4 linked regions of the Notamacropus eugenii genome follow. The protein of the gene in region 1 purifies or fractionates together with the protein of each later gene. This does not show direct contact. Links are inferred from orthologs where the notes say so. Each region holds a gene or a part of one and is shown in the gene's direction. Other genes may lie near its edges.

Evidence for each region.
Region 2: the proteins of DBN1 (region 1) and HOMER1 purify together in Homo sapiens (co-immunoprecipitation; 3 studies listed by BioGRID and IntAct, counting the BioPlex papers as one, with this or other methods). This does not show direct contact. The link is inferred for Notamacropus eugenii from reciprocal best matches to the Homo sapiens genes DBN1 and HOMER1.
Region 3: the proteins of DBN1 (region 1) and GSN purify together in Homo sapiens (co-immunoprecipitation; 3 studies listed by BioGRID and IntAct, counting the BioPlex papers as one, with this or other methods). This does not show direct contact. The link is inferred for Notamacropus eugenii from reciprocal best matches to the Homo sapiens genes DBN1 and GSN.
Region 4: the proteins of DBN1 (region 1) and TWF1 purify together in Homo sapiens (affinity purification with mass spectrometry; 3 studies listed by BioGRID and IntAct, with this or other methods). This does not show direct contact. The link is inferred for Notamacropus eugenii from reciprocal best matches to the Homo sapiens genes DBN1 and TWF1.

The regions. Positions count from the first base shown.
Region 1 is NC_092872.1:414,375,227-414,382,415, forward strand, and holds the start of DBN1 (drebrin), read left to right. Parts: upstream 1-4,083; 5' UTR 4,084-4,358; coding exon 4,359-4,444; intron 4,445-7,189. UniProt on the Homo sapiens protein: Actin cytoskeleton-organizing protein that plays a role in the formation of cell projections. Required for actin polymerization at immunological synapses (IS) and for the recruitment of the chemokine receptor CXCR4 to IS.
Region 2 is NC_092875.1:473,553,882-473,561,468, reverse strand, and holds the start of HOMER1 (homer protein homolog 1), read left to right. Parts: upstream 1-4,414; 5' UTR 4,415-4,512; coding exon 4,513-4,517; intron 4,518-7,587. UniProt on the Homo sapiens protein: Postsynaptic density scaffolding protein. Binds and cross-links cytoplasmic regions of GRM1, GRM5, ITPR1, DNM3, RYR1, RYR2, SHANK1 and SHANK3.
Region 3 is NC_092872.1:442,108,494-442,116,598, forward strand, and holds the start of GSN (gelsolin), read left to right. Parts: upstream 1-5,059; 5' UTR 5,060-5,064; coding exon 5,065-5,193; exon of another isoform or gene 5,194-5,196; intron 5,197-5,358; exon of another isoform or gene 5,359-5,405; coding exon of another isoform or gene 5,406-5,429; intron 5,430-6,360; exon of another isoform or gene 6,361-6,432; intron 6,433-7,219; coding exon 7,220-7,424; intron 7,425-8,105. UniProt on the Homo sapiens protein: Calcium-regulated, actin-modulating protein that binds to the plus (or barbed) ends of actin monomers or filaments, preventing monomer exchange (end-blocking or capping).
Region 4 is NC_092874.1:211,907,700-211,915,117, forward strand, and holds the start of TWF1 (twinfilin-1), read left to right. Parts: upstream 1-4,358; 5' UTR 4,359-4,499; coding exon 4,500-4,524; intron 4,525-4,664; exon of another isoform or gene 4,665-4,965; intron 4,966-6,130; coding exon 6,131-6,208; intron 6,209-7,418. UniProt on the Homo sapiens protein: Actin-binding protein involved in motile and morphological processes. Inhibits actin polymerization, likely by sequestering G-actin. By capping the barbed ends of filaments, it also regulates motility.

The DNA.
Region 1 (7,189 bases):
GTATATCTATATATCTATATATAGATATACACATAACTAGAACAAGCATATAAGGCCACAAGTCATTCATTTATGGATATGTGGTCAAAGAATATGAGCAAATAGTTCCCAAAAGAATTACAACCTTAGTAAAGATTGCCCCAAGTCATTAATAAAGAGAGAAATAGAAATCAAAACAATTCTGAGGTTTCTCCAAACACCCAGCTAATTACCAAGGTTGACAAAAAATGGGAATCAGTAGCTTTGGAGGGACTAAAGAAAGAAGGAAATAAGCATTTGTTAGCATTCACCAGGCACTGTGCTAAGAACAATGTCATTGGATCTTCCCAGTCACCCTGGGAGGTAGGTGCTATTATCATCCCCATCTTACCTAAGGTCATACAGCTAGTAAGTATCAGATGATAGATTTAAACTCAGGTCTTCTTGACTCCAGGCCTAGCTCTTTTTTTTTTCCTTTTTTAAAAAATTAATTAATGTAAAAAAAAATTAATGTATTAGTTTTCAGTTTTCTACAATCACTTCCACAGATCTTAGATTTTCTCTCCCTCCTTCCCCCTCCATCCCTTCTCCCTCTCCCTTCCCTGCCTGAGATGTCCTGAAATCTTATATGGGTTCTACACATACATTCTTACTAAATACATTTTCACCTTAGTCATGTTGCATGGAAGAATTAAAATGAATGGGAGAAACCATGAGAAAAACCAAACCAAAACAAAACACAAGAGAAAATAGTCTGCTTCATTCTGCAATCCAATTCCGTACTTCTTTCTCTGGATGTGGATATCATTTTGCCTCAAGAGTCCATTGGGAATTTTTTATGTCCTTGCCTTATTGTGAAGGGCTAAATCTACCAGAAAAATTCTTCTCACACTGTGGTTGTTGCTTTGTACAAAATTCTCCTGGTTCTGCTCCTGTCACTCAACATAGTTCATATATGTCTTTCTAGGCCTCTCTGAAGTCTTCCTGTTAATCATTTCTTATAGTATAATAGTATTCCACTACATTCATATACCACAACTTGTTCAGCCATTCCCCAATTGATGGGCATCCCCTTGATTTCCAGTTCTTGGCCACCACAAAGAGAGCCAGGCCTAGCTCTTTATCCATTGTACCACCTAGCTGCCTCCAGAAAGAGATGTTTCTTTACTTCTGGTGGAGCTGTAATTGGGCAGATCATTCTGGAAAGCAATTTGCAATTATGCTAAGAAAGTGACTGGAATGTCCCCAGTCTTTGATTCAGAGACCTTACTATATTCAGCATATACCCCGAGGAAGTCAAAGACAGAAAGATCCTATATACCCCAGAATATTTGTAGCAGCATTTTTTGTGGCAGCAAAAATTAATTTTTTTAACTAATTAACTTAAAAACAAAAATAGATACCTATTGACTAGAAAATGATAAACAAGTTGTGGTGCATGAATGTAATGGAATATGAATGAATGAAAATAATCTTTAGTAAGCACCTACTATGTGCAATGTTATAGTGATAAGCCTGGGGAATACAAAAATATAAGTGAGTCTCTGTCCTCAAGAAACCATTTTAATGGGATGATAAAGACTAGTGAAACTTGGTAGTTAGGCTGTGTCTGATGCTTTGTGACTTCATTTGTGATTTTCTTGGCAAAGATATGGAAGTGGTTTTGTTGTTTCTTTCTCCAGCTCATTTTACAGATGAGGAAACTGAGGCAAACAGGATTAAGTGACTAGTCCAAGGTCACATAGCTAGTAAGTATCTGAGGCTGGATTTGAACTCAGGTCTTCCTGACTCCAGGCCCAGTACACTGCACCACCTAGCTGTCCCAAAATTTTATTGTTAGAAGCTTGGTGAGACACATGAATTTATGCAAAATGAAATAAGCAGAATCAGTAAAACCAATGACTACAGGAATTTAAATGGAAAAAAAACCCCAAAACTGAATGCTGTGTAATTAATTACACTACTCAAAAACCATATCCCTTAAAAACATCTTTTTTTCTTTGCAGAGGTTGGGAATTATAGGTGTGGAACCCTACATATACTTTCAGGCTCAGTTACTCTTGCTGAATTGTATTTTTTTCTTTTAAAAAATTCTTTGTTATGAGGGATGGCTTTCTGGGTGGGAGAGGGAGATATATTTGGAAATGAAGGTGATGTAAATGAATAGGGGGATAGAAACAGAAGTTGAGTTCATTTGCAGAGCACAGGAGGCATCATGCTGAAGTAGAGAGAGCCTTGGATTAGGAGTGGGGGGAGGGAGTGTCTGATTTTGAACCTTAGCATTGACACTAACACACTTGTGACCTTGGGTAAGTGTCTCTTCTCTTCCTCTCCCTTTTTCTCAGTTTCCTCAGCTGTAAAATGAAGGAGTTTGGACCAGATGATCTCTAAGGTTCCTTCTTGTTCTGACATTCTAGAATTTCTGGGTTCCTCATCTAGTAACCCTAGGCTGGGTCTATTTGTGGAAACCAAGTCCATCTGTGGAGCCAGAAGCTACTTAGAATTAAGAAAAAGATGAGTTAAAACTAAGTTCTTTTTCTACTCGGATGTCCTCTTGTCTTAGCAAACTTAGGGGAAAATAGATTTTCCCCCCTACCTTGGTGGGAAAATTCATGCAGAAGGTGGGTTTGATCAAGGGGCCTTCTTAAAGTCATTTGGTGGTGGGTTTGGGGGCATTCAGATATAGAAAGATTGTCTTAAGATGCTGATACATTCCCACCTAGGCTGTCTTCTCACAGTCCTGTCCTACTTCTTTTCCTAATAATAACACATTTCTATAGCACTTAAATGTTGACAAAGCACTTTCTCCACAACTCTGGGCTCTTTTCTCTCTCTCTCTCTCTCTCTCTCCATAAAGTGATCAGCCACTTAGATGGCTTCTACAATTACTTTTACATCATGGTTCCCAACATATCCTGATATTTCTTCTAATCTCTACGTCTGTATCTTCAGTTGCCTATAAGACATTTTCACCAAGATAATGGGGGTGGGTGGGGTGTGAGCAGAGTTGGCGATGAGAAGGGGATGGAGTTAGTGATCCTCGAGGAAAAGGATAGAATTCTTTGTTGCAAATAATGACTCTTTGGGAAGGGGAAGGGGAAAAATAGACGTGGGAATTTAGATGATGTAAAAACAAAAGACATTGGTAAAATTTTATTTCAAAAAAGAACAGAATTGGGGATATGAATGGGGACAGACTGAGGACTCAGACAGGGATAGGATAGGGCAGTGATAAGAAATGGCGTAAGAAGAATTGAAAGGGGTTTGGGGAAAAGATAGGAGGATGAAATCGGGTTAGGGATAAAATGGGTGGAAGATGGGCTTGAGAATGGGAATGAGGATATGTAGAAGATTCAAATTGTCAAAGGCAGGGATACAATTGGAGATGGAATGGGGATACAGATGATGATGGGGTTAGGGATGGGAATGAGTTGAGAATAGTTTTGGGAACGGGGTAGATGGGGAAAAGGGATGGTGACAAGATTAGGTTGGGGATGTTGTTGAGAATGGGGTTAGGAATGGGTTGAGGATGAATTGATGATTTGGATGGGCATGGGCAAGGGTTGGGAATGGGATTGGCATGGGGATGGTGTTGAGGACAAAGTAGAGATGAGAATGATTTGTGAATGGCCTGGAGGATGAGGTTGTGTGTAAGAATGGAATGAAGACAGAGGAAGGATGAGGGGGATAAAACATGAGAATGAGCATGAGGATGGACTAAGGGTGGGGACCGCTTAAGATTGGCATGGGTCCAGGGATGGAGGGAGGGACCAAAAATTCCCTGGGCTCTAGCAGAGTTTCTGAGGGAGGTAGGGAGAAGGAAGATGCCTCAGATGGGTGGGGGAAGGCAGTGATGCAGCAGTGTTCCCATAGTACCTGTGCTGTATGCCTGACCATGTAGTGTCACTGGAAAGGGGTCAGTGCGGGAGGACAAGAGGGTTCGGAAGTGGTGGGGCTGGGGGTCAGGAATCTGGACCGGAAGAAGGCCGTTGAGGGTGGGAGGGTAGGGGGCGTGACTATTCCTCCTCCCTCCCACCGGGTCCCTCTTAGGTAGAGACTGGCGCTAGGACCGAGCGGAGTTTGGGCCGGGCGGAGCATCGCGCCCCCCACCCTCCTGCCTCTCCTTCCCCCCTCCCCCTTCCCTCCCTGCCCAGCTTTCTCTCCCTCCCCTCCTTCCCTCCCTCCCTCCCTCTCTCCCCTCCCCTCCCTTTCTCTCCCCTCCCTCCCTTCCCCTCCCCTCCCCCGGCTGGGCTGTGCTGGGCTGTGCTGCGCTGCAGTGTCTCTCTCCGAGGCAGCGGCAGAAGCAGCGGCCCGATCCCTCGCCGCTTTCTCGGCTCTGGCCTCGGCTCCTCCGCAGCCCCCGGCCCGCCGGCTGCACCATGGCCAGTGTCAGCTTCAGCGGCCACCGCCTGGCGCTGCTGGCGGCGTACCAGGAGGTGATCCAGGAGGACTGCCCTGCCGACTGGTGAGCGGCGGCCCGGCCTGGCCCCCCGAGGCCCCCAGCCCTGGACCCTTTGTCCCTAGCCCGCCTGGGCTCGGGGAAGGGGGCTACCTCTTTGTGTTCCCGTCCAGTGGCGGGGAGAAGGAGTTTGGGTGGGAGCCGGAGCCTGGGCGGGACGGGGGCTTCGGGGGATCCCCAGGAGGGCCCCGGAAAATGGTGCATTAGGCAGAACTAGCCCGGGCCCGAGGGGGGAGGGGGCCGCCTTTGTGCGATCCGACCAGGGAGGGAAAGGGGGTCCTCCGGAGGGATGCTCCGGGTGGGGCCGGGCTCGGCCCTGTGGGGCGGGGCCAGGAGCTCGGAGTTGGGGTGTGTGTGAATGGGGGGCTCGTTGGTCGGAGTTGAGCCCTAGGTGGGGGAGGGCTAGGAAAACTCGGTTGGGGTATTGGAGATTAGATCCAGATGTGCAGCCCCGCAGGCTTTAGAAAGCTCCAGGGGATCTTCTCCCTTGGTGACTCCCGGGCCCTGTGTCCCCGCCCGTCGACTAGCTCCGGGCAGGTGTGTGTGTGCGCGCTCCTGGGCCAGCCAAGGGCACCTTCCAGTCCAGTTGGCTGGGGTTTGTTGGGCGGGTGGGTGGGTGGGAGTGTTATCTGTGGCCGGGGCTCCGAGACACTACTGCCCGGCTGAATGAGGGCCCTGGCCCGGCCCGGCCCTAGCCGGCAGCACAAAGGAAGGAGGGAAAGAGGGAGGGAGGAGGAGGAGGAGGAGAAGGAGGGCGCGGTGGGGAGGAGGAGGGATCGAGGGGATGTGTCAGGAGGGGAGGGGGAGGGGAAGGTCTGGGGCTGCTATCTGGAGATTAGGTGATGGGGGAACCCTTTTCGAGAGCCCCGCCCCCCCGGGGGTGCATCTCCATGCGCACCGGCCCTTTTCTTCTTGAGGAATTGGGTCGGGGGAGTCCAGCCTGGGGCAGCAATATTGGAGGCATGGATTTAGTCCCAGGAATATCCCTAGGGATCTTAGAGCAGGGAGAGAATCTGAAGGATATTCCTGATACCACCCCATCATCCTCATCCCAGCTCGGAGATGCCATTTCGACGCCCAGAACATGAGCCCCTCCCCACCTTCTCTGCTTTATTCCATCTCATTCTCTTGCTCCCATGCCTTCCTTTCTCTCTCCTCAGACCCTCCTTTCCCTTTCCCCAATTCCTGTGGATCTTAGGAGGCCATGTGCGTCTGGACCTAGGGATGGAGGGGAGGGGCAAGGAGGGCTTGGATCTTTGAGTCTGGAGGAGTGAACCCCAACAAGCTTGTCTTAAGTCTGGGTGGTGAGATGACTCAGTTTCCTATTCTCTCTAAAAGGGGCCAGTTCTCTGTCCTGGTGCTGGGGTTAATATGGTGATATCTGGGAGGGGAAGGCTGGGAGGATGAGTGTGAAGAAACTAGAAAAGCAGAACTGTGGGGTGAGTTATAGAAGAACCCTGGGTACAGGGAGTAACCCCACAATAGTCTAGTTATGTTACTGTGTGTTTTGTACATAGTAGGTTTTTAATACGTTTGCTGAATTGAATAGAGAACAGACCAGGCTCCAACTCTGTGCTGAGATTGGTAGGGGGTGGGGCCCCTGGGGACAGAATTCCCCGCTGGGCTCTATACAGTGGCCTCAGTCCCACTCTGGGAGTCCAGGTCCAAATAAGAGATAATGGCAGGCCAGAGTATCTAAATCCCAGTGCCATATGGATGCCCTTTGTCCTGAGCAAGAGAGAAAGGCACAACAGCCGTAACTCCTGGGACCCTGGGTCTAGAGGGGTCCCAGTAATAATTTGTGACAGTCTTGAGTTCGGGGGAATCAAGTTAGCCCTAAATCTGGAGGATGAATCCTACTGAGATAGTAGTGAGTGTGGAGGATTAACCCTAATGCACTAGCCCTGATTCTCAGAGTAGGGGTAGTGAATTAACTCTGAGCCCTGTAAGGGAACCAACCTAGCTGTGAGTCTAGGGGGGGAATTGATTCTGGGCTATGTGTGAGAGAGAGCGATCAGAGTTAACTGTGAGTCATGGGGTCGGGGAGGGAGAAAGCTAGCCTTGACCCTAGGGTGACCGCCATGAACTAGCCCTGTTTCTGGGTATACAGTGAGGTAGCTCTGAGTCTGGATGGTTAGTTAGTTCAGGGGACTAGCCATGGGTATATGAGGCAATGAGATAGTGCTGAGTCTGGAAGGAACCCCAATGAGTTAACTCTGCCTGTGTGTAGGGGAGGGGCAGTGAACTAGCTGGCTGGTACTGGGGGAGGTGGCTACAAATCTGGGGGATTTGTGGAGAGGGGTGGGGCAAGAGGCCTTCAGGAGCTGGGCGGGCCCCTCAAAATGGCTTCAGCAGCTGGAATTCCAGCCCCAGCTGCTGGTCTCAACACAGCCCCGGGAGAGGCTGCTGCCACCTGCTGTGATGTGGCTGAAGGTTCTGTCCCTGCCCTGGACCCTTGTTGGGGAGAGACTCCAAGGCTTAGAATCATCATTCTTCCCTTCATTTTCTGGGTTGGGGTTGGGGTGGGCACAAACCTGGCTATCACTGGGTGGGAATAGTCTTTTTTCAATGCCCTGAAGCTCCTTGGGAGGGCGGGGGTACCACAGTCCTGACTCAAGCCCCATGTATATAGCTACTACCTAACATAACTCTCCTCCCATGTTACCCCCTCCTCCCATACCCCAATTTAGTCCCTTTCCACTACCTAGAAGGGGGGGATATCTTGTTCCCTCTTCCCCCAAAGACAAGTAT
Region 2 (7,587 bases), on another chromosome or scaffold:
CTGGTGCTATGATTCAATGCACTTTGTATGGAGATTTGTAGAATAGCAATCTGTATTCTAATAGGTTGCATAGCATTTTACATGACTTGTATCCATGTATATAATTTCTATTGGTGGATTCCAAATAACAGATCTTAGTAAGCATCCAAATACAAAAAGTTAGCTGGCCAAAGATCCCACTGAAGTCCTTTTCTGATGCCTTGTCACCTTGGAGAGATTACCACCACTATAAAATCAGGAGATTGTACTAGAGGGGTCTTTCAGGTTACCTACCAGCTCTAAATCTGTGATCCCATGACTCTCGGTTATCAACGGTTATGTCAGTAAAGCATTAGCTCTGGTAGGTCCCAAGCTAGAAAGGCTTTGAATTCCAGCCAAGCAAGTGTGTATTGTAGGAGAGCAATGTGTGTCTGTGTGTCTGACATTTCCGAACCAGCCTAACTGATTTCGAAGAGGCCCATGGCCACTAGTTTGGCCATCAGCTAAGGAATTTTCCTGACCAGTTACTCACAAAGACCAGTCCCTTGGATTGGGGAAAAGTAAAATTCTGCTATGATGTAGGAGACTGTGAACTCCTTGAGAATAGAGATTGGTTTTTGTTTTTTCTTGTGTAATGGATATGTCCAGATAACCTAACTTGTGGGAGATGCTAAAGCCCTGCTTCTGAGAGAAGACATTCTGCATTCTTCTACCATGTGGGTGGGAGTAGCCTTTTTCCATTGGCTACATAGTTGGAACAGGATGTATGTTTAAAATTACCAGGCTAGAACATTCTTAATTTCTCTCTTTCCAGTTGTGTTCAGAGGGGTGAAAGAACTGTTCACTCTCAGGACAGGCATCATGAACTGAACTATTGAGAGAGATAGTCCTTTTCTCCTCACCCCTTTTAGGCCCTGTGACCCTGGACTTGGGGTTTGGGTCTCTTTCATTTGCCCTTTTCACTTCTAGGTCCAGATAAGGGAATCTCTAGTCCCTGGGGGATTCAAGTCCCTTAGAAGAAGGATTCCAATGGGGATTTTGTTGTCAGTCCATCTGTGAAGCCTGAGAACTGAAGGTGGCAGGACTTAACCCAGGGTAGGCTCAAGATGTACAGGAAGTGAGCTGAGTTGTGAACCTCATCCTCCTCCCATTTCAGAATCTGACCTGGATAGGGGTATGAGTGTGTGTGTGTATTATTCCATGTTGGGTGACACATTTACGTTTGTTCTTGCTACACTTTAGAAATAAACTTTCTTTTGTAAAAGCTAATCTGGCTGTTAGGTGGTGAAGTAGAACTGGGTTGTAGGGGAGCCCTAAAATTGAAGGAACAGAATTGGTGGGGGCTGGAGCCAATGACAAGGAGACTGGATACCCATAACTCCCTTGTGAGCACTGGAGAACCATGAAAGAGAGGTGCATAACCTGGCCTTCTGGCAATTCAGACCAGGGTAGTGGCTGTTACATTTGTGTCCCTAGCACTCAGCACAGTGCATGGAACATAACAGGCACTTGATCAATTCTTCTTAACTGCACATTCACGCCAGTTAAATCATCCGTCTTATATATGTAGAAAAAATATTGTAATGTAGGTTTTTGCTCATATCCAAAGAGGCCGGGAGAAATGGAGATGTTTTCATTTTAAATTTCTTTTGGCTGGGGATCCTTGCCCGCCTTTATCATGAACATAAGTGATAATCCTTGGCAGCAGTCTCAGTAAAAAGCCAAAACATGAGAGCATGACAAAGGCATGCCTCATACGTAATGGCACTTTACAGAAATCCTAAAATGAAAATGATCTCTGTTGGTGGTATTTTTTTGTGATCAGGACTGACCCAAACTATTGGGAGCACAATAACAAAGTTTTCCAAATTAAGAAAAGAAGGAACTAGCTCCACTGTTTTCTTAGGTACTGAATTTCTTAATTATCGGGATTCACAAAAACTTGGAATTCGATTTAGCTACTTCCTTTTGGATAAACTTTCTTGGTAAGCCACCTTTAGGAAATCAAGAACTTGTCTTTCGTTCTGTAACACTGCTGTAGAGTGCCATGCCCACGGGCACGGACTGGATACTTATCAAGCTCCAGTGATTTCTTTACAACAGTATCCACTTAGGATGCGGTATAAGCATTATTGGCAACCGGTAAGAGCCAGGGCTTTCCCTCCCACACGCTATCGCTGGCGGGGACACAAGGAGCCCAAGGAGACTGCTGACAGCAGTAGCAGTGAGTGGGACAGAGGAAATCACCCGGCTGACACTTGGGGCGCGGTGGCTGGAGATGATTCACCAGGATCTGGCTTCTTCCTTGCTGGAAAAGCCCCCCTCCCTCCCTCCCGCCGCTTCCTTCCCATCCCCTCCTGGGCTTTCTCTCCCGGGCCTGGGCGCAGGTGGGCACAGGGAACCTGGCAGCGCCTCCTCCTCCCCCCCACTCTTCCCTAATTTAGCAGTCCTTCCGGCCGCGTGACGTCATCCCCCGCACCTCGGTGACGTGAGCGGCGGGTGACGTGGGTGCGGAGGGGAACGCGGTGACGTTGCTATTTAAAGGTCCTCCGGAGGGGAGGATGGAGACACAGCGAACGAGCTTGGTGTGGGCACGGGCAGAGGCTGCGGCGGCGGCGGGGGCTGGGCCGAGGAGCTGCCGGCCGGCCGGGGCCGTCTAAGGGAGGCCGGGGGGAGGGCCCCGCGGGCAGCGGCGGCTGGAGCGGCTGGAGCGGCTGGAGCATAGCCCCGCGCCCCATCGCCCCCGGCCGGGCCGTCGCCTTCCTCCCCGGGAGGCCGGGGAGCGGCTGCTCCTTCGCGGCCGCTGGCGCTGTCTGCCTCCTCTGCTGCTAGTGGGAGGGACCGAGAGACCGCGCTGCCACCCGCGCTGCCACCCTCCCTGCCCCCCGCTGCACTCCTCCTCCTCCTCCCTCCTCCCGCCTGCTCTGCCTGCCATTCTCCCTCCCTCCTCCTCCTCCTCCTCCTCCTCCTCTTCCTTCTCCTCCTCCTTTTCCCAGGCGGTAGCCAGCGGTGGGGTAGGCAGCCTCCCCGCCTGCTTGCCCCGGAGCCCGGCAGCGGAGGAGGCAGCGGCCGTAGCGAGCGGGGCCGGCCCGGGCCGGGGCTGGTGCCCTCCTCGGAGCGCGGGAGAGCGAGGAGAGATCGAGGCGGGGGCGGGTGAGGATGGAGGTGTGAGGCTGGGGAGAAGGAGGACTGGCCAGGCATGTGAGCTGGCTCCCTCGGCTGCAGCTTGCCAGCGAGCACCCCGGAGCCACATTTCCCGGGCCCCCGCGGGTGGGCAGAACCGATCGCATCCTCTGACGGGCCGGTGCAGCCAATTGATACTGAAATCCCCTCCCCTCCGTCCCCCACCATCCATCCTTCCATCCATCCATCCAGCCAGCCATCCCTCCCTCCCTCTCTTCTGGCTGCCTCCAGTCCGCACTGTACTGCTGGGGGCTCGGTGCTGGGGAGAAGCGTGGGGGGCTCGGCTGTCTCTGATTCATTCATTCTCCGCTGGCTGGGAGGTTCGCAGCCTCTGGCTATAAAGGGGGAGAGGGGGAGAGAACGAGAGAGACAGATAGAGACAGAGACAGAGGGAGACACAGAGAGACGGAGAGGAATAAGAATATATTTTTAATTTAAAAAAAAAAAGAGCAGTGAATGAAGGGACCAGCGCAGGCCAGGCTCCATTGTGTTCAGCCGAATAAGGAGGGGGGAGGTAGAGGGAGGTGAGATTTGGGGGGCCGCCTTCCCCGAGATGTGCTGCCGCTCTCCCCTCCTGCTGCCAGCCTTGAAATGGCTTCATTTATTCTCTTCTGGAGATTGAATCGATCCTCCTCAGCCTTCTCTTCCTGTTCCCCACCTCCTCCATGCTCTGAGTCCTAGAGGAGGGGGAGGGAAAAGATTTCGCCTCCTAGGAGTATCGTGCACGTTTGGGAGCTGCTGGGTTTGCGCTTTGAGATTTTTCTATTTAAAAAAAAAATCTTTTTCTATTTGCAAGGGGACAGAAACCGTTGCATTTCCTCCCCATTTTTGGGCTTTGATTTCCATTGTTTTTACCAGTTTTTAAATTGCATGCCCCGTGGTGTCGCGCTCCCCACCCGGTAGACCTGCAGGGTGCCAGGGAGATTTGAACGCGCCGCTCGCTCTCCCTGCAGCTCGGAGAAAGAAGGCGAGCCTCCTGCCAGCTCCTGGCGCGGGGACTGCATCCTTGTGCAAAAGGACATGCGAGCAGCGTCCGCCGAACTGCTTTCTTGTAGGACTCCATGAACCTGGATCGTGCACCGACCCACGCGGACTCGCGCTGTGGAATGAGCATTGGCCTCCGCTGCTCCCCGGCGCGGCATTTTAACTCTGGCAAGCAGATGCCACCTCCTCTGCTTTGAACGGTTCGGGATCTCCACGCGAGACATTCACTTATCTGAGGAAACATCCTTGAAATACCTCCAGACACGCGCGGATCACGTGGGGAATCGACGGCGCTGAAGCCACTGGAAAGACTCCTTGGGAAATTCTTCCGTAGAGCAACTTCGGCAGAAGTTTGCACTGGGCAAAATGGGGTAAGGAATTTCTGCACTGGGCTTCGAATGTTCTAAGTAGAAGATAAGGGTGGGGGTGGGGTGAGGAATGGGTATGTTTTAAACAAAAGACTTTCCTATCCTTGGCTAAATTCCTGATTATGGAGCTTGAAAGTCCGCAGGTGTAAGAATCGTCTTTATAGGGTCGTCTTATTTTAAAGGTGACTTAAGGCCTAAGAAGTTGTCTTTTGAAGGACCTTGAGTTTGTCTCTTGAATGCAATCACAATTTGAATGTTAGTGTTCCACCAGACAAATCCTTCTTAGAATTCTGAAATCTTCCAGTACCAGTCATTACAGAATTCTGTGGTTTGGTTTTCACCGTAGTCTCTCCCCTTCTCTCCCCTCCCCCGCCAAAAAAGGGGGGAGAAGGGAGAAGATTGATTTCTCTTTCTGTTTTTCTGCTTTGTAAAGGTTAGTTGTAAAAAGTAATTGTAAAAGTAACAGAAATAACGACAATAATAATAACTGATGTTTTATGGCGTTTTAAGGTTTGTAAAACAGTTTACATACATTATTTCATCTAGCACCACAGTCCTGTAAATGAGGTATCTGGCTTGTCCTTAATCTCATTTTACGCATGAAGAAACTGAGCCTTATATTTGTGTGACTTGTGGGTCCTGCTAGTGGTAACAGGAGGTGGGATTTGAACTCTTGGTTTTCCTGACTACACCTCTCTTTCCACTACCGCATATTGTCTCATGGCTGCTAGCGAGTAATAAAGGCATTTATTTGGAAATTAAGTGCATCCCCAATATAAACTCTGCTGTGCTGGAACAGAGCGAGACTTCTGTTTTAGGCTCTGGAGCCCAGAATTTGAGTTGGAAAGAGTTAACTTGTCCCTTGGGGCATGAAAGTGGAAATCCAAGGCAGATAGGGTATCTATGAGCTTCAGGTGCTTCTGGGGAGTTTCTCCTGCGGTAGAATGTCTTTTATTTTGCAACTTCATTTAAGGGCTTTAATTTGAATGAAAAAACCTTCCAATCTCTCTCTTCCCCCACCCTGTTTAATGGGGAACTTCTCAGACTTTGCTGCCCACATTCCCCTAAATTATGGATGATAGGTGATGTTTTCTCATTTTAAATCATCTTGATAGGAGGATGAATCAATACTTAGTATAAATTTAAGCATATTTTTCGAATAATTTCAGAAACACGATTTCAAATACTGCCAGCTTTATGGTGTAGGAACTGACAGTAATGTATGCCATTTGTTATTGACTCTCCATCATATAAATGGGTCAGTGTTTTAGAATAACTTATGAAATCTATTATTTGACTATTTCAGTCTTTGGTTGTGTTTGATATTGATTATTGTGTGGACCTGAACTTTCTGTTCTAATTTGTTCAAACATAGGTTCATAGATGTAGAGCTGGGAGGGACTTTAAAGGTCACCTAGTCAAATTCACTGATGTGACAGGTGAGGATCTGTCCAAGGTCGCTCCAGTGGTAGTGGCAGAGACTGTACTTTGAACCAAATTCTTTGACTTGAAGTTTTGGTGCTGCCTCAATATGTATTTAAGGAATTTACATATGGATTTAAGGAGTATGTAGATATGCAAGGAATATGTTCCTATGTAAGGAATATATGTATGTTTAAGGGATTTAGCCAAAGACTTTCAAAACTTGTTCTAGCAGTGTGATTTGCATCTTGTAAAAACGTTTATATTTAAAAAACTGCATGTTCATCTTTAAGGAAAGATTTCAGGACATGCTTTTTAAAAGCTAGAATTTTAAATATTATTTATTCATTTTAAACAGCTTTCTCTTGGGTTCAGTGACTTCCTCATTCATTTGGAAACAGTAATGGCTTTTAAAACTTTCACTTACAAGTGTGAGTAATAGGGAAAATGTCTTTTTATGTGATAGGAGCAACGCTTAATGGAAAAAACGAGTAGACTGGGAATCTTGAGAGTCCTAGCTCTGATCTAGAGAGCACTAGCGCTGCTGTTGTTACCTGGATGACCTTGGGCAATCACTTCAACCATTTTAATCTCTCTGGACTTCAGTTTCTTAATGACTAGATGTTCTCTAAGGCCTTTTCCACCTATAATTGTTTATTCTGCTTTTTTCTCTTTTTCTCCCCTTATCCCACCTCCAGTTTTTGTTCTCCTTAGTGAGATTTCCTGAAGTGTATTTCCTTCAGAGGGAGATAGTTATTTTCTCCAAAATCTCATTTTTCATCACTTTAACAACAGTAATTGGGAAGTAATGACAGCTTAAAATTTTTGTGAAAGTGGTCTTATTTAATGTTGTGTTTCTAGTATTCCAAATTCTTGAAAATGAAAGCTTAAAAATGGCTTCCTTCAAATAGCTTCAGTTTTTCTTTTCTGATTGAAGCATGTTGGAAGACAAATGGAGTGGCAGCTCCTCTCCTGAGAACTGCATCCTCATATTAGACTAAGGAGTGCAAGTGCACTAAGAAAAGTCAATTGGGCACAATCTTTCCACGGAATATTGATCATTGCTACTGATTAAACTCTTGGGACCGTCAGCACATGATACATAGTGACATAATATGAAGTTCGATGCTGTGGTTTTTTATTTTACAAATTTTGTGTTGCTGCTTTTTGTTTTTATATCTCACCCAGAGAGCCATCCCATGTAAAAAGAGGATGACAATGAAATGTAACAAAACTAAGCAATGTATTAACTAAGAGAGATGGTGTAGGTGGTGTTCTGCACCCACAGTATCCCACCTTTGCCAAGAGAGGAAGCAGGTTTCATTCCCATATCTTTTTGTGGAAGCCTCCAGTTTGGTCCTTACGATTACTCGGCAGTCAGTTTTGATTTTGTTTTATTTTGCACTTTCTGTTTATGTCCTCAGCATAATTTTAAATGTGATAATATTCTAAGTCAGGTCAGTTTCAAAGAGGGTAACGGCTTGCAATAAATGATCTTAAAACTTCCAAGAAGGTAAAAAGGACAGATGGGAGTGCTTGCTTTGAAAGTTTGTCTCCCTGGCTTTGGCACTCTTATTTTTATTTTGGGCAAGTCATTTTTCACATTCCAGACATCAGTTTTGTCTCTTGTCTGAGTTGACTTAGGCCAGAG
Region 3 (8,105 bases), about 28 Mb from region 1:
TGACTGCACATGTATAACCTATATCAAATTGCTTGCTTTCTTAAGGTGGGGGGAGGAGAGGGTGGGAGGGATGAAGGGAAAGAGAGTATTTGGAACTCAAAATTTTAAAAAACAAATGTTAAAAAATGTTTTTACATAAAATATTAAGAAAATGAAATATCACTTTGGCAACCATGTGGAGCATGGATTATTGGAGAAAAGAGGCAGGAAGTTTAATTAGGTGACTATTACAACAATCCAAACAAGAGATAAAGGTCTGAACTAGGATGGTGGCCATGTGAGCAAAGAAAAGGGGATGAATGTGAGAGATATTGGTGAGGCAGAATTCACAAGAGTGACAACTATTTGAATGTCAAGGGTGGGGAAAAGGTCAAGCATGATTCTGAGATTAGGAACATGGATGACTAGAAGAATGTTGGTCCCCACTGTAAAGTAGTGAAGTTAGGAAGAGATACTTTGTTTTTTGAAGGTGGGATAGAGACACAATGAGTTCTATTCTAGACATGTTGAGTTTGAGATGCCCATAGCATATTAATTTAGAGATGTCTGATAAGCATTTGATGATGTAGGAGAGATTGAGGAGACGGATTGGACCTGCATAGATAAGTCTGTATGTTATTTGTATGGGATTGATAGTTAAAGCTATGGTAGTTGATGAGATCACCTAGAGAAAATTTGGAGATAGAAGAGAAGAGAGCCCAGGACAGAACCCTGAGTATTGTATACCCACACATGGGGATAGGATAAGAATGATAATCTGTAAAGGATACTAAGAAGGAGATGCTGACAGGAAGGAGGAGAAGCAAGAGAGAAGAGTGATAAAAATCCAGGGAGGAGAAGATGTGTAGGAGAAAGGGGTGACCAACAGTATCAAATGATGTAGAGAGGTTAAGAAAGTGACAAGGACTGAGAAAACACTGCCTGATTTGACAATTAAAGGATCATTGGAGACAGCAGTTTTAGGTGAGTGATCAGGTTGAAAGAGTTGAGAAATGAGTGTGAAATGAGAAAATAGATGCATGGAGTGTAAATTGCTTTTTCAATTTGTTTGGCTGTGAAAGGGAAATAGATATAGGAAAGGAGCTTGAGGCAACGATAGCATCATATAAAGGTTTTCTTAGGAATGGAAGTGAGTTGTTCATATTTAAAGCAGCAGGGAAAGGTACAGTGGCTAGAGATTGAAAATTAATGCAAGACCCTCCCTCTCTTGCAGAGGTGAGAGACTATAGGTGTGGTATCTTGCATATATTGACAGTCGTTGCATTGGTTGATTTTTTACAGAATTGGCATTTATTTTTCCTTTTTAAATTTTTTTTTTAAAATAAGCGATGGCTTTCTGGGAAGAGAAAGGGGAGGGGAAGGGATAGGTTTAGGAATGATATCAATGCATAAAGAAGAGAAATTAACAGAATTAGGATTAAAAAAAATTTGAGAAAAAAAAGCAATGGTTGAAGGGGCAGGCTCTTGGATAGGATCAATGGCAGAAGCTGAGGGGATGAAGTTTGGAAGAATGGTCATAGGGTAAGTCTGGAGGTGGGGATAGGGATGGGAATGTGAAAATGACTTTAAGTGTAAAGTTGAGGAGAAGGAGATGGATGGCCTCTAATTTTTTTTTTTTAGTGGGGTATTTGGCAAGGACCTTTGTTGAGAGAGAGGGATACTGATAAGGTAACTTGAGGAAAGAAGAGGTTTGGAAAGATGGTGAGGGACGTGGGATATTCAAAGCAGCACTCATTGAACTACTAAGGAACTAGAAACCAAGTGGGTGTCCACTGGCTGAAACAAAAATGTTACAAGAATAGACCACAGATATCACTGTACAGCAAGAATGACAAAGGTGTGGAGTTAAGAGAAACTTGAGAAGATGTGTATAAACTGATGCAGAGTGAAGATAAGTAGAACCAAGGAAACAATATTTACAGCAATGGAAGCAAAAGAATGAAAAATACCTCAATATTCATGGCAAAGAGTTGGGAAGGGGTGCTACTTGGACGTGTTATGTGAATGGTAAGATGTGGTGGTGGTTGTTGTTCAGTCATTTCAGTCATGTCCAACTCTTGCTGACCCCATTTGGGATTTTCTTGACAAAGATACTGGAGTGGTTTGCCATTTCCTTCTCTCGATCAATTTACAGATGAGGAACTGAGGCCAATGGAGTTAAGTGACTTGCCCTGAGTCACGTAGCTAGTAAATATGTGAGGCCAGATTTGAATTTAGGTCATCTTGTGCTTTATCCACTGCACCACCTAGCTGCTCCTCAAGATGTGGTTACTGTCTAGAAAACCTTGGTTTAAATGTTTTTCTTCTTCAATCTGTACACCCCTCCTCCCAAGGTTGTGTTATAATGTATTTAAAATCTTAAATACATTTTAAATTAAATTTAAATACATTTTAAACTTAAAAATTAATTTTTTTTAAATGGGGGATTTGGAGGGAGAGTAGAAATGCCCTGGCCTTAAAAGGCAGGAGAGATCTGGTTTTGCATCCTGTCTCTGATACTGCTGAAGAGCTGTGCAACCATGAGTAAGTCACCGAACTTCTCCGAGTTTCGATTCATTTACCTTTAAAGAGAGGATTACAATACTTATATTACCTAAATTACAAGGTTGTTTGGAAGAGCCAGTGAGATGATGTGTGTAAAATGCTATATAAATGTCGGTCATTATTTCATTATTGCTTAGTGCCTTAGGTGTCCAGTTCTGGTGATAAATAATGTAGGATTATAAAACCATTTAGAATGAAATCCTTGACCTCAGGGGGCTTACAGTCTAGTTTGGAAGACAGGACGTAGAGAAAGTTATGATGATAATTAGACTGTATGGATTGTTCTTGAAGTGAGAAGACATGGGTTTGATCCTCTCCTTTGATGATTCCTGATTGTGATTCTGGGCAAGTCATTTCCGCTTTTGGCACCTCAGTCTCATTATCTGAAAAACAAGGAAAAGAATACTTGCCCTCTGTGCTGTAAAACAATTAGATTAGATTGTTTTGAGGAAGGAACTTTGTAGGCCTTAAAGAGAACTGTTACCATTTATTACTGTTATTAATCTTAGAGTGTTAGAACTTGAATAGGATCTCAGAGATCATTTTATCCAACCCTTTAATTTTACAAGAAAGGAAACAGACCTAGAGAGGGTGGGATAGGAATGGAGAAAGGAGTAAGCCTGAGTGAACTGTAGTTTAAGAGGCATGCTTGGAGTGTGGATGGAAAAGAGGTACAAAGAGGACTGGAGAAGGAGCTAGGAGACCTAGGTTCTATTCTTAGCTCTATCATGGCCTTGTTACTGTCATCTTGGGCAAGGATGCTATCTATTAGAGCTCAAATTTCTACATCTGTAAAATGGATATAAGAATCCTTATCTTGCCTACTTTATAGTTTTCAGAGATGGTGAAAATCTTAAAGATCATTTCAAATAACAGGGATTCTTAACCTTTCCTGTGTGTCATAAACCCCTCTGTGAATTTGGGTGAAGATGATAGATCCCTTTACAGAATAAAAGTTCACTGGTTACATTCATAATTAAAGGAAAGGGTAAAATTTAGTTGGATGTTAGTGAAAATAAAGATATTTTTTCCCCACTCAAATTTATAGACCCTCTGAATTCTATTAACAAAATCCTTGAGGGTCCCCTGGGGTCCATAGAATCCAGATTAAGAAACCCTGCTCTAGGGATAGTGTTACAGTGTAAAGAGCACTGGATTTAGTCAGAACAATTGGGTTCATATCCTAACTGTTGCTTACTACCTGTGTGACCTTGGACAAGTCACTTTTATTTCTTAGTACCATATTGTCATTGTTAGTGTCACTGTATATTGAGAATGTTGGATTAAATGGCTCTGATGTCAATCGATCAACAACATTTACTAAGAATTTACTCCATTCCAGGCAATGTTATCACAACCCAATTCTCAGTCCTCCTCCTCTCCCCTCTCTGTCCTTCAGATGAAGGAAATGAGGTCTAGAGATATTAAATAACTTGGCTGAGGGATAGTTTGTGACAATAGTAGGTAATAGAACTGGATTGATACCTTGGCTTTCTGACTGCAAATCACTTGCACTAAACACTTCTTCAGAGAGTTGTTGGTAGGAGCAAAGGCATGTGAGAGCACTTCACAAACTATAAAGGGCTCTAAATACACATGCAGGGGATTATTATTAGAGGTTGCTAATGGAAAGAGCCTTGGACTTGGTAGTCCAAAGATCAGTTTCTACAATTTATCAAATTACCTTGGAAAAGTCATTTTCTGTAAGCTTCCTCAGTTTCCTCATCAGCAAAATTCAAGTAATGACATTTGTGTGCCTTACCTCATAGTGTTGTGAAGAAAGAAAAAGACAACCTTAAGCTGTGGACAATGTTACTATTACCAGTCTCTGCAAAATGGAGGGAACAATCCCTGCCCTAATTACCATCATTGGGATGCTGTGAGAATACAATGTATGTAAAATGTACTGTAACCTAGCAAAGGGCGATACAGACATGGGCTGTGTTTATGCAGGAGGCTGAGGAAAATAAGAGATGTAGGTGATATTCAGGTAGAAAGAGCATTAAAATTAAAGTCAGAAGACCTGGATTCAAATATGAACTGCCGTATTCTAACTCTGGGGCCTTGGATAAACCACTTTCCCTCTTTGGGACTCAGTTTCCTTCTGGGTAAAATGAGGGGGTTTGGATTCAATAATTACTAAGGTCTCTTTCATCTTTAAATTCTGAGATCCTAAGGATGGGGTGGTAGGTCCTGGTCTTTTTCACTGAAGGATCCCTGGAGTCCCTTCATGGGTCAATCTGAACATCTCCCTCCCTCCCATCATCTCCCAGCGACTTTGCCCCATACTCCAAAAAAGGCCAAGGGCAGGGACGGGGAGGCTGGATTGAGGAGGGCCCTGGGTCCTGAGCCAGGTGGCAGCTGCTTTGGATCTGTACTCACGTGGGGAGTTGGGGCGGGTCCCCACTGTGGCTGGGCGGGCCAGGTCACCTTATATTACTGGCCCTGCTGCTGGTGGGAGAAGGACGCAGCCAGCCTTCCCTCCGTCTTCTCGTCTCTCCTCTGAGCCTGGGTAGCAACATGGCCCACGGCTTTCTGGTGCTAGCGGCTCTAGGCTGCCTTCTGATGCGGGCAGGCTGCGGGCATGCCGGCGTCACCCCGGGTTCGCTGGTCTCCCTGCTTACAGCCACCGTGGCGCTGTCCGCGGGGGTGAGTGCCTGGCGCCGGCGTCCCCCGCTCTTCCCAGTCCGCTAGGGGGGATGGATCTGCGCCGTCAGGGGGGGAGGGAGGGAGGCAGGGACAGAGGGAGAAGGGGGGAGGCCGGGGCTGTGAGCTTCCTCTCCTAAACAACCCCATTTAACTCTCTATTATAAGTTTTTTCAGATACAACGCTAGGAAAAGGGGCATAATTAAGGTCTATAATGGAAAAACTATTCTGTTGCTTTGTAAGTATGATTTCCGGTCGCGGTTTCAAGCTGGACCCCTCTTTTCCTCCCTTTGGCTGTTATACTGGGATATTTACTAATCGACAGCATCGCCTTTGGAAGTACTCTTCTGCCTTCTTCAGCATAACCAACTGCTCACCTTCCGCAATCTTCTTTCTTCCTGGGGGCAGAGTGAATGGGTGCATGCGAAAAGTTTTCTCTCCCTCTTGTGTCCAGCAATGGGATGGACCCCGCCCCAGCAGAGACCCAGGGATCGATTTCGATTGATCTCGGGGCTGGCCTGTGTTTGTCCTCCGAATGTGCAAACACCATTTGACTGTTTGCTGCTGGGGTGTGGGTGGGTCGTTCCGGGAGGGGCTATATAGGGCTTAAAGTTCGGGATTTGTCCTGGTTGTCTGTGAAGGAGGTGGGGGGAGTGGGGCAAGGCTGTGGCGGAAACAGGCACAGTCTGGGTGGTCTTTTTAAGTGGCTGTTTGTGAGATCTGTGAAAGGCTATGCTTTAAAAATTTGCACTGGCCAATCCAAGGTACCTAGATTCTGGAGAAAATGATGGAGAAAAGGCAACTGTTCTTGGGATTTGGATTTTAGAGCTGAAAGGGACCTTCAAAAACAGAGACTGTTAAGGCTGGAAGGGCCCTTAGAATGTAGTGTCAGACCCCAGACAGTAGAATTTAGAGGTAGAAGGAAGATTAGAATGGAGGATGTTAAAATACAGACAATGGGGCTGAAAAGGACCTCGTTCCAACCTCCTCTTTTTACAATGAGAAAACAGACCCAGAGATGTCAGGTGACTTATCTAGGTTTCTCAACTATTTAGTAGCAGAGCTGTGTCCAGAACCTAGGTCTCGTCACTCCAAGTCCAATGCTCTTTAAAATACCACCATGCTTTGGAGCCAGACTTCGGAATGCTTGTTTGTTTGTTTTTTTAAAGCTCCACCAAAAAGGAAAAAGGGAAATCCCATTTGATTTCAAGCTCTGATCAAAACTAAGGAATGGAGTTGGGGTGAGAAGTACAATTTTTCTATCTCCTAAATATTTAGGAAAGGAGATTGGAGGCTCCAGAGTAAAGGGGAGAGCGATCATGGGTTCCCTAGCTGAAGGCACTGGGTTTTGACTGCCACTTAAATCAGTTTTCTGCCTTTGTGCCGCCTTGCTGCCTTAAGTGTTCAGAATTCAAGCAAATAGGATTTGTTTGGTATCAAGAGAGAGAAATTGGAAGTCAGTGGAGGATCAAGAAAAAAGGAAAACAGAGGAAGGATTCTAAAAGAGAAATTGAAAAGGATTTGGAGAAAGGATTCTGGGAGCCCTCCATGTTGGAAGGTGGGGGTAGAGAATGATGTGAATCAAAAAAATTAAAGTTTGAGCTGGATAGGGTCTTAAAACTAGAATATTAGAACACAGACCAGAGAATGTTAGAGCTAAAAGGGATGCTAGCCCAACCTCCTCATTTTACTGATGAGGAAACTGAGGCCCGAAAGAGAGGAAATCCCTTGTATAAAATGACCTAGTGGAAGAGTCAGGGATAGAGTCCACATATCCCAATTCTCATCTCAGTATTTTTTGTAGAAATGCGCTACAGAAACCCCATATCTTTCCAGGATACTGGTTGCAGACTGCAGAAGATTAGGTGTTTCTCTTTGAGTCCTGTTTGAGATCTTAGTTTTCCTCTGCAGGAAACCATTGTATCTTCATTTGAAATTGACTCTGGTCCTGGAACTTGAGGACTTTTGCTGCATTTACCCCTTTGTGGTACTTTTTCCTCACCTCTCTTCATCCTTTTCTTTCCCCAGCCTGTCAGCATGGTGGTAGAACATGCAGAGTTCCTGAAGGCAGGGAAGGAGCCTGGCCTGCAGATCTGGAGGGTGGAGCAGTTTGACTTGGTACCAGTACCCAAGAACCTGTATGGGGACTTCTTCACTGGTGATGCATATTTAATCCTGAATACCATCAAACGAAGGGATGGAACCCTGCAATATGACCTCCACTTCTGGCTGGGTAAGGAACTGGCGTTCTCTAAACCTCTTCCTCCATCCCTGAGCTGAGTACCTACTGTGCAGGGACTGAATGACCAGAGGTTGTTAACGATGTCATGCAAGGGGGATTTCTACATAGGCTAGAAATTCAGATTCAGATCTCTAAGGTCTTTGCCAACCTTAACATTCTAAAAACAACATTCTATGTTCTAAACAACTCTAACCTTCTATGTTCTAACGTTCATTCTAAAATTCCTTTCAGTTCTGATGTTAAAACATATCCAATTTTAAAGTGCTTTCACTGCTTAAAGAGCAGTGAAAATAAGGCTCGAAATAAATCTCCCTCCCAGTCTTTAGTGTAAGTGCCATCAACAGGAAATTCTGGCACCTTTATCAGAGGCAAAGTCTCATTATCATTAATAATTCACTATAGTAATTAGAGTGGTGATCAGTAGATAGAGAAGAAAGGGCACAGCTGGTGATGAAGCTCAGAACCTGTGACCTGGGGAACCACCAGGCCAGGGGGAGAATTATCTGATAGTGAAATTAGCACAAGGACATTTAAAGAGATTATTCTATGATAATCAATCAATAAACATTTGTTAAATATAAAACATAGACATGAACACTTTTGGGTCCTGAATGTGGGATGCTAGGGAACTGGTAGCTTTCATCTTCTGAACCCAGGTTTGTGTTCTAGTCT
Region 4 (7,418 bases), on another chromosome or scaffold:
TGAGGAGATTGTAACTTACTGTGACCTAGGGGTGGAGTGTGTTGTGTTCTGTGCTACCCCTGTGGATGTGCTGTGCTAGGGAAGATCCTGGCCTGGGATCCCTTGATTGTATAAACAAGTATAAGGTGGGTTATGCTATATCATATTGTACATTTTTGTGTCTGTTTAAGGCCATGTGGCCTCCTTGGTAATATGTTGTTATGAATTGTGAATGCTTTGGTTTCTTGAATAAGATTTAGTCTTGAGTAAATAGAGGGCTTATACTGTGTGATTTGACCCTAAATAAACATATATTCACAGTAGCAGCCCTCAGGTGTGCTGTGCTGATTGTCGTTACACCAGGAGAAAGAAAAAGCAAAACAACAAAAGAAAATAGCTGCTTCGATTTGCATTCAGACTCCATATTTCTTTCTCTCGATGAGGATGGCATTTTCCATCATGAGCCTTTTGGCATTGTTTTAGGTCCTTGCATTGCTGAGAAGAGCTAAGTTTATAAAAGTCAGTCATCAAACGTTGTGGCTATTACCGTGTGGGCAGCTAGGTGGTGCAGTGGGTAGAACACCAGTGCAAGAGTCAGGAGGACCTGAGTTCAACTCTCACCTCACACACTTGACACTCACTAGCTGTGTGACCTTGGGCAAGTCACTTAACCCCAACTGCCTCATCCTGGGTCATCTCCAGTCATCCTGATGAATATCTGGTCACAGGATTCAGATGGCTCTGGAGGAGAGGTGAGGCTGGTGACTTGCACAGCCCTCCCTCACTCAAAAACAAAGTCAAGTGCAAATCATGTCATCATTTCTCTAATGGCATGGTCTTCTTCGGCAATGAAGGACAAATACACTATTACTGTGTACAGTGTTCTCCTGGTTCGGCACATTTCACTTAGCATCACTTCATATAAAGCTTTCCAGGTTTTTCTGAAGTCTGCCTGCTCATTATTTCTTATGGAACAATAGTATTCCATTACATTCATATATCACAACTTCTTTAGCCATTCCCCAGTTGATGGGCATCCCTTCAATTTCCAGTTCCTGGCTACCACAAAAAGAGCTGCCACCAATATTTTGTATATGTGGGTCCTTTTCCCATTTTTATGATCTCTTTGGGAGATAGCCCTAGAAGTAGTAAAATAATTCAAATATTGTGGAGTCACAGTCAAAATAACACAAGATTTAGCAGCTACCACGTTAAAGGATCAGAGGGCTTGAAATATGATATTCTGGAGGGCAAAGAAGATAGGATTACAATCAAGAATTCAGAAAAAATAACTATTTTCCCTGAGTTTTCAAGGGGAAGAAAATGGACATTCAATGAAATAGCATTCGAACATTCCTGGTGAAAAGACCAGAGCTGAATGGAAAACTTGACTTTCAAATACAAGACTCAAGAGAAGCATAAAAAGGAAAGAGAAATCATAAGAGACTCAATAAGGTTAAACTGTTTACATTCCTACATGGGAAGATGATACTTCTCACTCCTAAGAACTTTCTCATTATTAGGGCAGTTAGAAGGGGCATATGTAGGCAGAAGGCATGGGAGTTGAATTGATGGGATAATATCTAAAAACAATAAAACTAAGTTATGAGAAAGAAGAATGTACTGGGAGAAGTGACAACAGAGAGGTAGGATGGGGGTAAATTATCTCACAGAAAAGAGGTACAAAAGAGATTTTACAGTGGAAAGGAACATGGGGGAGGTAGAGGATGGGAGAAGGTGAATCTTACTCTCTCTATAATTGGCTCAAAAAGGGAACAACACACACACACACACACACACACACACACACACACACACACACACACCCAGTTGGGCATATAAATCTATCTTACCCTACAGTAAGGATGAGTGAAAGAGGGTGCTGATAGAAGAGAATGCAGATTGCAGCAGGCCATAGTCAGAAGCAAAACATTTCTGAGAATGCGCAGAGTGAAAGGAGAGAAAGAACAGGATAAACAGAGGGGAAAACAGAATGGAGGGAAATACATAGTTAGCAATCATAACTGTGAAAAATAAATTTTACAGCAAGTATTTCTGATAAAAGCCTCATTTCTCAAATATATAGAGAGCTGAATCAAATTTATAAAAATAAGAGCCATTCCCCAATTGATAAATGGTCAAAGGATAAGAACAGGCAACGTTCAGACAAAGTAATCAAAGCTATCAATAGTCATACAAAAAATGCTTTAAATTATTATTGATTAGAGAAACATATTAAAACAATTCTGAGGTACCATCCAACACCAATCAGATTGGCTAATATGACAGAAAAGGAAAATGACAAATGTTGGAGGCAATGTGAGGAAACTGAGACTCTAATACAGTTGTGAACTAATTCAACCATTATGCCAAAAGTGTATAAAATAAGGCATACCTTTTAACCCACTACTAGGTCTATATTCAAAGAGATAATAAACAAAAAATGGAAAGGACGCATGTGTGTATATACAAAAAAATTTATAGCACCTTTTTTAGTGGTGGCAAAGAAATGGAAATTGAGGAGATGCCTATCAATTGGAAAATGGTTGACCCAGTTGTGGTATTTTATTGTAATTGAATGCTATAATGCCATAATAAATGATGAGCAGGATAATTTAAGAAAACTTAGGAAGACTTTCAAGAACCAATACAAAGTGAAGTGAGCAGAACCAGGAGAAGAGTATGATGACAGCAATGTTGTTCAATGATCAGCAGCAAATGATTTATCTATACTCAGAAATACAATGATCCAAGAAAATTCCTACAGACTTATGATGAAAAATGTCATCTAGCTCCAGAGAAAGAACTGGAGTCAATGCAGATCAATGTATACTTATTCAAAACTTTTTTTAACCTGTTTTCTTTCACAATATGACTAATATGGAAATATGTTTTGGAAGAGAAGGAGGGAGAGAATTTCGAACTCCAAGTTTTACAAAACGAATGTTAAAAATTGTTTTTACATGTAATTGGGGGAAAAATAAAATATGAAGTTTTTTAAAAGAAAGAAAAAGAAGACACAGCCCCAGTCTCTCGTTTGAGCTTCCAGATAATGTTTCTAGAGGTTTGAAGGTCAATATATCTGCAGAATCAAGGTTGGGAAAGAAACCACAGCCCATTTTTATCAACTCACAGATATCCTTACCTTCCTCCTTCTGCTATTTCCTTTCAAGTGTGTATACTTTTATCTTCTCCTAACTCACTTTAAATTTCATTTTTCTATGCTGCTCATGTATTCACATTTTATATAAGACTGCTGAAGCTGATGCTTTTTCTTGGCTCTCTTTTTGTATACAAATGAGCCTGTGCTCTGAACATAATAAAACACTGCTAACTATCTCTAGATTGTTGATTTGGTGATTGTCAGCAATACTTCATCTATGGACCCTTAGAAAATTTTTATCTCACTGATACCTATGCTGAAATGAGAGCTCCCATTTTGGATTACTTTCCCAGCTAAGCCACATTATTCAAAAGGGTATTTTTCTATATATTTACAATGTCTTTCTTGCCACTCTCATTTATAGCTCTTTTGGGTTCATCTATTTGGAAAACTTTTATAACTGGTTCAATCCTCCCTCCGCCCCCGCCCCCCCAAAAAACCCTACTAAAGTACTTAAAAATGCTTCAACAATAACAAACATTTGTTAAAACTGTGGTAGACACTATTGACAAAAAGACAAAATTGAAGCAGTCTCTACCACTTATGATCTTACAGACCACTTGGGGACTGAGGTGAGGAGCAGGTTGTAATGTATATGCTGCTAAGTATGATACAAGGAAAATTGAATTCAAACACATCAGTCCTCTCCCCACCTAAAACACAATGCTCTACGGAGGCTTGCCCTGCACCCTGGGCACATTTAAATGACCTACCATGGAGGCACTTTGCCTGTCAGTGTTCCCCATCCTTTGACCGGCTGCACATCCCAGCTCCACCACAATGTAAACTCTATGCACCTAACCAGGAAGGTACCTCGGCCCTCACCTTTAGACCTCAAGGCTGGGGGCGGGTCTTTTTCTCCATCTTTGGCCTGCTCATTTTGAAAGGTAGGCAATGATACTCACAGGATAGGGAATGTGAGCTACTGATCCTAGAGCCAAGAGTCCAAGTGAGATTTTGCAGCTAGCCAGGCTAGCAGGGAAGCTTTGGCAAGGCTAGGATGCCAAGGGTTCAAGCCCAAAGACGGTGTGGCCCTAGGTTAGGACTGTGCTCTGCAGGACCTAAGCTAAACTGTTCATATCCTTATTACTGTACCACTGAAGTAAATATTTCTTGGTACAAGCTAATGTGGCTATTAGCAACCAAGAAGAACCGGGAGCCTCCCACGGCCCGGCAGGGGCTCCACTGCGCAGGCCTGGGCTGGGCCGGCTGGCCAATGCGGCCGCGGGGCGGGGGTGCGTTCTGGTGACGCTCCGGGCCTACGGAGGAGCAGCTACTTCCTGGAGCCGCCAGCCGAGGCCGCTAGTTCTCCCCAATCTGCCCTGGAGGGTGGTCGCCAGGTGCTGACCCCGCCACTATGTCCCATCAGACCGGCATCCAAGGTAAAAGACACACGCGGCCTGTGGGGAGGAAAGGAAAGAGGGGTCTTTGGGCGCCGGAGCTTCTCCAGACGCGAAGACCAGCGGTGGCCAAGGTGGGGTGGCCGGGTCCTCCGGGAAGCCAGGCCTTTTTCCTCACTCACCCTTTCCGTGCCCTGACCACAAGGGCTGGGGTCTGGAGGCTGAGCCGCTGTGGACCCGTCAAGCTTCCCCGGTGTCTAGTGGGGTAAATCCTCAGAGACACTGCCGCGGCCAGTTCCAAAGCAACTCATTCTTTTGGAGGCTTTTGTGCTTGGGAAACCAAATAAATGTCCGGACCGTCTGGGTCCGCGGAGGGAGTATTTCCAGAACTCCTGTACTCATTCATTCCCTTTCTTCTACGGTTATTAAATTAGGATTCATTGCTCTCTCAGCTCTTGGACTCCTCATTGGAAACTAAGGGTCTGCTGGTGAGCTTGTGAGTTTTTTTTCTCCGTAATGGCAACGGGGCACCTGTAATCCTATCTCACCTGTAGTTAGTTCCTGGTTTGAATAACAAGTAGGCTGGAAGCACTCACCTGAGCTGAATAAAATTCTGCTCTGCGATAGTGACTTCAGCTTCTCTTGTGGATTAAAAATGCAAGCCGAAATTTGCCAAGTTCCAAGGATACAAATTATCTTTCTAACTGAAATTATGTTCCATTGTCCCGTCTTTGTTGGAACACTCAGTGCACAAAGATTTTAGAAAGTTGTAACAAAGTAACTTCCACCCTCACCGTGGAGTGATTCCTCCTGTAAAGAATACACCCAAACCTAAAGCTGTGGAAGTTTTTTTCACTGATTTTCTTCGTTATTTAAAATTTTATTGATTTTAATACTTGATATTTGTACACAGCTCACATGATTCCTATACTTGTACTATTTATAGTAACAGTAGTACTGATAATTAATAGTAGGTATATAAAAAATGTTATGCCAGTTTCAGTAGAGTATTTTATATTTTTTGAGATATATGAAGTCTGACAAATGTAGTACATAAACCTAGCTCATTCTAATCATCTGTAAAATCAGGGGGATAATCTGTAAGGTCCTTTTATCTCCAAATTTACTGCTGTGAAATGGTAACTAATGAAATACTTCAAACTCTTGATATTTATATATTTAGGTATATGTACTAGAGAGGTTAAATATTTTGTCCTTGGTCTGTGTTTGAACTCAGGTTCTCTGAAGTCCAAAACCAGTGTTCTGCTACACACTACCTAAATTTTTGATTCTATTTTTAGTTTAGGTAAGAAAGGGTGTTTACTGTTGTTCTTATGGAGGAAAAACTTAATACTGATATATAGTAACTAAAGTTAGTATCTATCTTTAATGCAAAACCTGTATAGTGCAAATATGATTATCTCTTTTATAGATGAGAAAACTCTGAGATTAAATAAACACAACATTACTGATTTGAGTCCATATATTTTTTTTTTCATTAATCCTCAGTATCACGATTAAAGTGAAATATAAACTGGTAAAAATAGTGTCTTTTCTGAAATGTTTTAATATTTTACCTTGTTTAAATTATAAAAGGAAAGAATAAGATTAATGTGTACTAACTTTTTCCATTTTTTTTTTCTTTCAGCAAGTGAAGAAGTTAAAGATATCTTTGCCAGGGCAAGGAATGGGAAGTATAGACTTCTAAAGATTTCGATTGAGGATGGTAAGTTTAAAACAAATTTTTAACATTGTTTGGTAAGAGGTAGAACTTTTGGGGAACTTTCATGTTTGTGATTTGAGATACTCGTATAAAATTAAGAAATTTTGCAGTTTTTTACTTGTATCTTTTCAGGGTTAAAAATAACTTAGTTCCTGCAGATTTTGGACAAGTACCTATCTGCAAGTAACTTACTTTTTGATCTTATGAGCCTCGTGTTTTTACTCCTTCTATATGCTATAGCTGCCTATCAGTGAGAGAGGAACATGGCTCAAAATCTATATAATTTTTTTCCTTCTTTGTATTTATGCGTCTATATTTTGCCACACCCATTTTTTGTTTCTGTGCTCCTACATCAGTAGATGAAATGGGTAAACAGATCATAAATTTCAAATTGGAAGGGACCTCAGAGGCTTTCTGGAGTAGATTATGAAATTTGTGGATTTTTTCCCTTTGAAGCATTTCTAGTAATTCCTATTGAGTGATCAAATTATAGATATCATATAATTCATTATTAATTATTTTTTTACCATTTTAGGCATTGAGCAGAACAGAAAATAGGCACAATCAGTCCCTGTCTTCTGCCTACATGTGAAAAATGTATATTTTCCAAATACAGACAGGTATAAAAATAGTAACAGCTAACATATATTTGCCAGGAGGGGCAGCTTCGTGGTACAGTAGATAAAGCACTGGGCTTGGAATCTGAAAGACTTCAGTTCAAATTTAGCCTCAGACCCTAGCTGTGTGACTCTGGACAGGTCACTTAACCTCATTTGCCTCAGTTTCCTTGTCTGTAAAATGAGCTGGAGAAGGAAACAGCAAACTACTCCAGTATCTTTTCCAAGAAAATTCCAAATGGAATTTTGAAGAGTCGGACATGACTGAACTACAACAGTGTGCCAGGCACTGGGCTAAGTGAAGGTTAAATGACATACTTTGAGTCCCAGAGCTAGGACATGTCTGAACTTGGAAAATAGCTTGAAGATATGACAGAGTTTACTGAAGAATTTTTCATGATTTGGCATGAAGAGATTGAAGTTTTTATGTATAAAGGGGATAATTGTGGGGGTCACTCCACAGTACATGAGATTATCATGTTCCAGGATTTTTAGCTGTTGAAGAAAAAAATGATACTCTGAATTTTAGGAACAAAGCTTCCAGAAATAAGTTTTTATTTAATTTAACATTGTTTCTAAGTTAAAGGCATTTGTAG